2 linked regions of the Mus musculus genome follow. The protein of the gene in region 1 binds, or shares a complex with, the protein of each later gene. Links are inferred from orthologs where the notes say so. Each region holds a gene or a part of one and is shown in the gene's direction. Other genes may lie near its edges. The genes, in order: Cdc45 and Mcm3.

Region 1 (4,605 bases):
CTGTCCTGGAACTCACTTTGTAGACCAGGCTGGCCTTGAACTCAGAAATCTGCCTGCCTCTGCTTCCCTAGTGCTGGGATTAAAGGCGTGCTTCAGTCTTTTATCTTTTTCTTTAAGTACCAGAACTGTGTGACTCAGTCTTAGGTGCATAACCCACAAAGCCCTTTTTTGAGCCATGGGGTTGGGGGGTGGGGGGTGTGTGCTCGTCAAAGCATCTTCACCTATGCCATCCATCTAACCTACTGCTTCTCTCTGGAACATAAACAACGTACATGAAGTATGCAACACCCGAACGGTATCCTTCCAACTCAGCCACCAATGAACATGAGCTTCTATCATCCATGTTACTTCCTTTAAAGCTTTTATGCCTAACACATCAAACACTCAGTGCTGGTTATGTAAATGAACTTAGACAGGGACTTACTGTGACACTCAGGATAAAAATCTAATAATCACTTCTTGTTTTTAACAAACAAACAAATGGCACGGAGTCAACACTATATACAGGAGTGATGAGACATCACTGCAGCCGGATGGACTTGACTTCCAACCTCTGAGCCTCACTTTCCTGAGTACCACCTCTCTAAGTTTTAGTTCTACCGGTAAATATAATAACTACGTACCTATGTTCCATGGGGAATGCAGGAATTAAATAAGTATACGTTGATAGAAAAAAGGCGCACTACATATTACCTATTGTCGTTATCACAACGTGATGAACACAACGTGACATACAGCCTAAGACATGATTTCTACTAAATAAAAGGTCAGGGAACTTTGGCTGAGCTTAATGTCCTTCGTTTTCTCCTCCCTCGCGCCACTCCCCCAAGAAATCTCCAGTTAACTCCGAGTTCATGGAAACTTGTTGCGTGTCGAGCACTTATGAGAACTATCGACATAAAGTAGCAGGTTCCTTTTTACTCTCGGGGCTGCTGTCCCGCCGAAAGGCATTCGAGTCATGACTCGGACAAGCTAAGAAGAAAAGAGGTGGCTCGTAATTATGGGTCCCACTTGGGACAGAAGCTCTCGGGACAGTGTCGGGGCCCGACGCAGGCCCGGGTGACTCGGCACCTCCGCCACCAGGTCCAGGCCCTCCCTGCCAGCTCCAGGGGCAACTCTGGCATCATCCGGTTCGCGATCCCCGGTCAACTCACCATGACTGACAGCGTTTGGTGATGCCGCTTCTTTTCCTGAACCTTACAATAAAAACCCACAGCTCCCTCTTTGCAGTCCAGGCCACTGCTCTGAAACCCAGAAACCGCGAGAGGCTCGCCGGAAGTGACGGAACACCGCAGGGGATGGGGTACGGAGGCCTGAAGTCAGCGGCGGAAAAACAGAAAGTCATGGGAAGGCCTGAGGTTTGAATATTACTTAAAGTAAACATTAAAACACTTGATAATTGATTTCACAGGATAGCGACTGTTTATAATGTTTAGATAGTACTCTCTTCCAAACAACTTGATAGGAGCCGTTCTCCTTACGGACTACAATACCCAGAATGCAGCTAGAGTTTCCGGCGTTGATCCCGGCCATCATGGATTCGGGCGGAAGTAATCTATAGCTCACTCTAATTCGACGAACCGTGTATTGGAAACTTATTGGAAACACATTCAAATAATGTGTGACTGAATTTACTTTATGTCTAAGAGTATATTGTTTTCTAAGTATGCCAGGGTCAGATAATAGACCTTCCTTCCCGAAGTAAAGATGTCTGCCAAACATAGGTGGTTTTGGGTGACTGGACGTTAGCGTCAACACCGGCAACAAGGTTCGCAGCCTGAGGAAAGATGTTTCATTTTTTGAGGGACGGGCGGGTCTTATCCAGCTGCGAATAGCAGAGCATTATTGGCTGTCCCCAGTAGGAACCAATCAGAAAGGAGGAAAGGCTAAGAATTATTGGCTGCTGGCGTGGACCAATCAGAAGAGCTGTGATTTGGCGGGAGTCTTGACGACCTCCGGGGCTGTCCGTGTCTCAGCGCCAGTTCTAGGTATCCGCCGCTGTGGCTATGTTCGTGACCGATTTCCGCAAGGAGTTCTACGAGACGGTCCACAACCAGGTGACTCCCATTCCACGATCCTGATCCAAACCTTATCTGGGGGCTGGGGAGAAGAGGGCGAGTGTCCGTGGATGGGCCGGGAGGTCAGAGAGTTGCCACAGAGTTTAGCGTCCCTGTGTTCAACTCATCTGTCCACGTTTGCTTCTACAGAGGGTCCTTCTCTTTGTGGCCTCGGACGTGGATGCCTTGTGTGCTTGCAAGATCCTCCAGGTGAGCTTTGAATACCTTAGGAAGGTAGGACAGGAGGGAGAGGTGACAGATCAGGGTTGGCCCCAGCAGGGGGTAGGTCACAGAAGGGGAGGGACCAGAAGGAGCAGGCAGGAGGTGAGGAACCCAAAATATCCTCTCTGACCTATACTGGAGCTAGAGAGAAGTATAGTGCAAACAGTGAGACAAGTACGTAGTGTTTTATACAGTAACCCAAGTGAAAATGGTTTCACTTCTGAAATCTTTGAATTTGTAAATGACCTCTCAAAGATGGAATTTGAGAGAGGAGATGTGACAGTGGGGAGTGGTATAATAGGGAGTGCAGGAAATACAGGAGCCCCGAGTCTATTAGAGAAGATTGTTAGTTTGGGCTCTGACCATAGTGTGGTTTGTTTTTTTGTTTTTGTTTTTTCAAGACAGGGTTTCTCTGTGTAGCCCTGGCTGTCCTGGAACTCACTTTATAGACCAGGCTGGCCTCGAACTCAAATCCATCTCCCTCTGCCTTCCGAGTGCTGGGATTAAAGGCGTGCGTGCGCCACCACACCCGGCTCATAGTGTGGTTTTTACAATGTGCTGGGGTTAGGAATTTTTCAGAACCCCTGTAATTAAAATTAGGGTATTTTTTTTCTCTTAATGTTTTACTTTGGCACACTGTACAGATTCAGATTGAATTCTTGCTCACAGCCTTGCCACGTAGCTTCTCCTATTGACCTTTTACCAAACAGCATATCACATAGATCTTTGTCTCAACTCAACTAGTCTGCTTCTGGTGATTGCAGGTAAGTTATCTTTAATGAGGGTTTCTGACCACATGCTCTCTCTCCAGGCCCTGTTTCAGTGTGACCACGTCCAGTATACGCTGGTTCCGGTTTCTGGGTGGCAAGAACTTGAAACTGCATATCTTGAACATAAAGAGCAGGTATGAACTAATGAATTGGAGAATAATTAGGCCACTCTACTCAGTGGCAGGTTCTTAATACTTAGCATTTGTCCAGTTCTGAAGTAGGAGAAGGGTGTTTTTGAAGTATCAGTTTTATTAGGCTTAAAGTTATGGTGGCGGAATCAACATTTGCCAAGGAACCACCAATTTAAGGTAGGTTTGAACTACATCTAGCAAGACTGAGGCCAGCCTGGGCTACACGACAAGATCCTGTCTCAAAAATAAAAACAGTTTAGTTGTGGGCAGCACCTACTCTGACCTCACTTGTTGTTTCCATTTATTTATTTATTTTGTATCCCATATCAGCCTCCTTCCTCCTAGTTACCCCCCCCCACAGTACCTCCTCCTATTCCCTTTTCTGAGAAGGAGAACCACCCCCCCTTACAGGGTGTTACCCCCCCCACCCCCACCCTCCCAGCTCATCAAGTCACTGCAGGACCTCTCCCACTGAGGCCAGACAAAACAGCCCAGTTAGGGGAATGGAATCCACATAAAGGCAACAGAGTCAGAGCAGCCCCCTCTTGAGTTGTTGGGGATCCACGTGAAGATGAAGCTGCACTTGCTACATATGTGTGCAGGGGGAGTGGGGGGCAGCAGGCTAGATCCAGCTCATGCTTGCTCTTGGGGAGGGGGTTCAGTCCTAACCTCACTTATTTCATTAGGATACACTACTGCTCTATGTTATCTCTAGAAAATGCATTCCAGTTATCAAACACGTTTTCACTTTGGAATTAAACGGTAGAACCAAGACTCCTTACCTCTGCCTGGGACCAGATGAGAATGGGTTATTGAAGGCCCTATAGGGAATGGGTAGGGCATGTCAAAATGCATTTGGAGTCCCTGGCTGCTTCTAGGATGACTTGGAAGAGATTCATTTATAATTTGAAGTACTTATATCAGTCGAGTTTTTTACCTCCAGTATTTTGAGACAAGATCTTATTTGCTAGCCGAGGACAATCCTCCTTCCTTGGCCTTCAAAGTGTTGTATTACAGGTGTGAGCCCATAGGCAGGCAATTTGGTGTTACTAAGGAAAGGTTTTACCTATAGTGATTGTTTGATAAAGGATCTAATATTGAGGAGGCCACGTGAGGCTGCCCAAGATTTACTGCAAGCCTAACCCACACAGTGCTGGTGATGTGGTAAGCTGTAGGGGACATTGCAGCAACATTTTGGCATTGAGCAACAGCCCGCGAGACTGGTATGTGTGTGTGTGAAGTCCTGCTCCTGTTCTTCATTAGCTATTTGTGTACAAGTCTTGAGTTTGCAGAGCCTCGGCGTGCTCTTCAGGAAGCAAGAAGAGCCCCAGAACCTATTTTACAGTGTCATCATGGAAAGGCTGTAACCAAGCCAGCTGTGAGCAGTTTTCAAGCCACTTAGCATTCCTCCTGGGCCTTGCCATA
Region 2 (4,498 bases), on another chromosome or scaffold:
GTTCTTGAACGCGACACTAGGCACCAACTGAGACTCCTCTAGGGCTCCACCCTGCACCTTCTTGGTGTCAGTCATTTTAAGCTACAACAACTCATTGAGCATCATCACAGCATCAGCCACCACCTTGGCAAAGAAGGCCTTCTGCTGGGAGATCAGCTTGGAGCTCAGGGCTTGGAGCTCAGGGCTGTCACTGCACACTTCCCTAGCATCTTCCTCTCTTCTACTTTATCTTGCTTCTTTATAGTCACAGCTATCTCTTTGATTTTGGGTGGCTGTGCAGAAAGCTCAGATGATGATCTGAGGGCATAACCCTTCCTTCACACAGGACTTCACCTGCTTCAGAAACTCCTCAGCCAGCAGGATCACCACGGTGGTGCCATCACTAGTGTCAGTGTCTTCGGATCCGGCAATGTCCACTAAAGTCTTTGCTGCAGGATGTCCACCATCGAGGAGTTTCAGAAGTAGAAATTGTTGTTTTGCCTTGGCCATCCACAATAAGTTGCCATGAGGACCCAGGGTGGTCTTATAGCCCCAGCAATCACTTGGCAAACACAGACAATGTTACTCACGAGCTGTTACTCATGAGTTGAGGAATGCCTTGAGAGCTATCAGTCCCCTCTTTCAACAGGATAACATGGTGGGCATCATCTTGGAAGCGGCATCCGGTACCCATAACTCATCTGTTCTCCACTTCAGGGTCGCCCACTCCAAGTGTTTTCTTTGGGCTGGAGACAGAAAAAAAGGAAGTACTTTGTATACTTTGCAATGCCTTGATTTTGACTGTTTCTGCATGCTGCTTTCCAGGCAGCCTCTTAGCAATTATTTCACCTTGTAAATCAGCCTTGGCCCATTAGTGCCTAAGGCAGAAAGCCAACAGATAGCAAGCAAAGCAAGCATGTGAACAGCAGTGGAACCCTTAGATATACTAACTATGCTTTTTTTTTTTTTAACAATCTGATTTTCTGCTTATCTATCTCATGACCTTGTGAAAGTGGGGAGAAATACGAATTATATATCTCTGTGTCTTCAAGGTTACAGATCAAGATACAGCAAATCAAGGCTGTGTTAAAGGCAATAGCATGATTCCGTGAATAAAATTTGTCTTTACACCATTTCTAACTTGCTCTTGGAATACTAGTGATGGCTTACTGGAGAATTTTGAATTCAGATTCCTCATTTTGTATAGGAGGAAATGAAGGCTAGAAGACAAAGTGTGTTAGAATCAATAATATGGAGGCTAAAGAGATGGGTCAGTGGGTATCCTGTTCGTCTTTCAAAAATACAAGGTGGAGAAAGATTGAGGAAGACACCGGATATCAACCTTTGGCCTTCATTTGTACCTGTGCATATGGGGTGCAAACTTAGACCTCCCCCCTCAGTAAATCCTAACTTCCGATTTGACAAAACTTCCTACAGGCAAAGAAAAAAAAAAAAGAAAAGAAAAACAGGGGGTGAGGTGGGAAGGACCACAACTCCCAGAATGCAGTGCTTCCTAGCCTTCCTGTTGCTCAATTTCCAGGGGGTGGGTTTTGAGCGTCCTCTCTGTACCATTGGTCAGACTTCCTATTAGGGCGGAGAAAGTGACCATTTCTCTCCAATCCAGGCACGGAATGAAAGGCTATTGAAGTGGTTAGCCAATCATAACGCGTCTCTGCTCCATGCTTCCTCCACCATAAACTTCCGTGGCGGGAAAACTTGGGAAGTTTTGGCGCCAAGGCGGTGTCACGCGTTTCCGGACTGTTTGGTGGCCGGCGATTTCGGAGCTGCGACATGGCGGGCACAGTAGTGCTGGATGATGTGGAGCTGCGGGAAGCGCAGAGAGACTACTTGGACTTCCTGGATGACGAGGTGAGGCTCGGGCCGCGAGCCCGGTGCTGGGGTCCCGCGGGTGACCGGGCACGGCTGAGGGGGTTCCCGCGGGTGACCGGGCACGGCTGATGGGGTTCCCGCGGGTGACCGGGCACGGCTGATGTGGTCCCCGCGGGTGACTGGGCACGGTGCTGGGGTCCCGCGGGTGACCGGGCACGGCTGAGGGGGTTCCCGCGGGTGACCGGGCACGGTGCTGGGGACCCCGCGGAGGACCAGGGCCGCTGATAACTTCTTTTCTCTGCAACTTCCTGTTATCTTTTTTTCTCTCCTAAAGATGTACCTCCAGATTTTAAAAGTTACATTCTTTTCATGTATTAGTTTCGTTATGAAATTTCATAAACACATAATGTATTTTGGTCATATTTCTTTCTTATCACTCCCTCTTATAATTACTGCTACTGATCCCCATAGCCTACTTGACATGGTACCCAGGCCTTGTGCTTGCCGTCTTCCTCTGAGCAGCCTATTTTTCTTGAAACCTCTTACATTAGGATATGTTAACTATACATACGGGTTACATTATGAAACTTCATAAGCACATAATGTATTTTGATCATTTTCATTTTCTCATTATCTCCTCTTGTCATTTTCTTGCTCCTGTATATCTTCATGAGTTACTAGGGTTTTCTCCAAAGTAATTTAGTTTGTCTCTAAATTCATGTGTTCCCCCCAAACCCCACACAACTTGCAAGGAGACTGGTCAGGTGTAAACAGGCTCTTCTTTGGAAAAGCTAATGTAACTGGCTCAGAGCCCTCAGATTTAATGACTGGCCTGATGCTGGTGAGGGTAGGAGCGAGACTAACAATTTATGACAGCTCTCTTTTTAGTGAATCAAGTGTTTTGTATGCAGGTAAAATGGGTTTAAGTGTAATCCAAAATTTAAAGCTATAGGATGTTGATGAGCCCTGGAAGTTTGTTGATCAATGAAAAGCAATTTAAATTTGAATTTTAAGAGTATTTAAATTACATTTCAAATATACATCATGATTTTGAAATATGTCTACAGTCAGGTGTGCTAACATCCAGATTTTAAAGTTAAATTTTCATATTGCAAGTTTTTTTGTTTGTTTTTACTAAGTCTTTAAGACTTAGGCCATTCTAATTCCCAATTAAAATGTAAGCATATAGGAGAACTGTTAATGATCATGATAGTATGTGATAGGGCATGCTGGACAGGAGGAAAGGGTTGTCTGCAGCTGTCTACTTCCTGGGCACCGTTGAGACATATATCAACATGCTGGCATCCTCATGTGTAAGTGACATAGTGGCTAGTGTCATCTTTGCTGGTGTAGGCTTTAAGTAGCTCCCAAGTCCCTGCTTAGGACTTTTGAATACCTTTATGCTGACCTCCCATGGTATAAATAGAACCCTCCCCCACCCCCACGATCAGTAACCCCTTTATAAATTGAATGCTCAGTGGTCCTTAATGCTCTATTGATAGAGACAGCAGGTGTGTTCTCCTTGTCCAGAAAGGCATACACCTGTTTTATAATGTAGGAAAGAACATTTTTCCGCTGAAAGACAGAAGTACGTTACACCAGAGGGCAAGAACACAGAACTGACCACCCAGCCTTTATGTAATATGTCCTTAAGTACCCCCAAGTTCTTGATGCAGTTGTAGACCCCACTGCTGAGCTTGCCTGCCTTCTGACCTTCTAATATTACTGGAATCCCTTAGATTCAGGACAGGCTTACTCTCACTCGACGATACCCCTTTCTACCAGTGTTTACAGCTTGTCACTGTGTACCCATCTGCTTGCTTGTTCTTTTGGCTGTTGCTCTTGAAGGAATCTTACTCTGTAGCCTAGCTTTGGACTCAGAGGTGATCCTCCTGCCTCCGATGCCTGAGTGCTGGAATTGTAGTTTAGCTCCATGCTCTACCTGAATTCAATTTTTCCTCTTTGTATCTCCTAGGCAGCTTTAGAGATCCAAGCTTGCTATGAATAAAACCAAGACCCTGTAGAAAGGGGACCCTCAGTTTCTTAGGTGACATTGACTTTATGATTCTTAGAGTCTCTTAATAGATTGTAGGTGAGGTCTGAGGCCAGCGGGTGAAAGGGGGAGACTGAAAAACAGACTTTGCGTTCATCTGGGCCCAGAGGTTTTGTTTCCAGGGTTGCTTCTGGTCTGAAACACATTTGACTTGTGTCCTAATTTAATATGTCAAATCACTTGTTCAATATGTCTTATTGGCGCTTCGCAGGAGGACCAAGGCATTTACCAGAACAAGGTTCGGGAACTGATCAGTGACAATCAGTATCGGCTGATTGTCAGCGTGAATGACCTGCGCAGGAAGAATGAAAAGAGGGCTAACCGGTGAGCCGTGACAGGGTTTCCCGGGGGCCCGCTGCTTTGGAGGGAGAGAGGAAGGCATCCTGTTTAGATTGGGAAGACCTAGAGTGCATGGGCTTCACCTACATACAGGCTGTCGTTGTCGTCTCCCAGAGAAGAGGTGGTCTCAGGTACTCCCATCTTCCAGTGTTGTGTTGAGCATCCTTTTTTACATGTTTGATGAATTGAGAATAACTTCAGTCTTACACAGTGGTAGCACAAAGTAGACATGGATTTCCTTTCTCTGACCCGAGGTTGTTCCTTCCTGTTTCTAGGGTCAGCTTCCTGAGCTCTGTC

The links.
Region 2: Cdc45 (region 1) and Mcm3 share a complex: the UniProt entries of both Homo sapiens proteins name them as parts of the CMG helicase complex. The link is inferred for Mus musculus from reciprocal best matches to the Homo sapiens genes CDC45 and MCM3.

Annotation. Positions count from the first base shown.
Region 1 is NC_000082.6:18,808,967-18,813,571, reverse strand, and holds the start of Cdc45 (cell division control protein 45 homolog), read left to right. Parts: upstream 1-1,599; 5' UTR 1,600-2,006; coding exon 2,007-2,057; intron 2,058-2,207; coding exon 2,208-2,267; intron 2,268-3,090; coding exon 3,091-3,183; intron 3,184-4,605. Other genes in the region: Ufd1 (ubiquitin recognition factor in ER-associated degradation protein 1), read right to left, coding at 1,155-1,157. UniProt on the Homo sapiens protein: Required for initiation of chromosomal DNA replication. Core component of CDC45-MCM-GINS (CMG) helicase, the molecular machine that unwinds template DNA during replication, and around which the replisome is built.
Region 2 is NC_000067.6:20,817,481-20,821,978, reverse strand, and holds the start of Mcm3 (DNA replication licensing factor MCM3), read left to right. Parts: upstream 1-1,666; 5' UTR 1,667-1,770; coding exon 1,771-1,848; intron 1,849-4,073; coding exon 4,074-4,186; intron 4,187-4,498. UniProt on the Homo sapiens protein: Acts as a component of the MCM2-7 complex (MCM complex) which is the replicative helicase essential for 'once per cell cycle' DNA replication initiation and elongation in eukaryotic cells.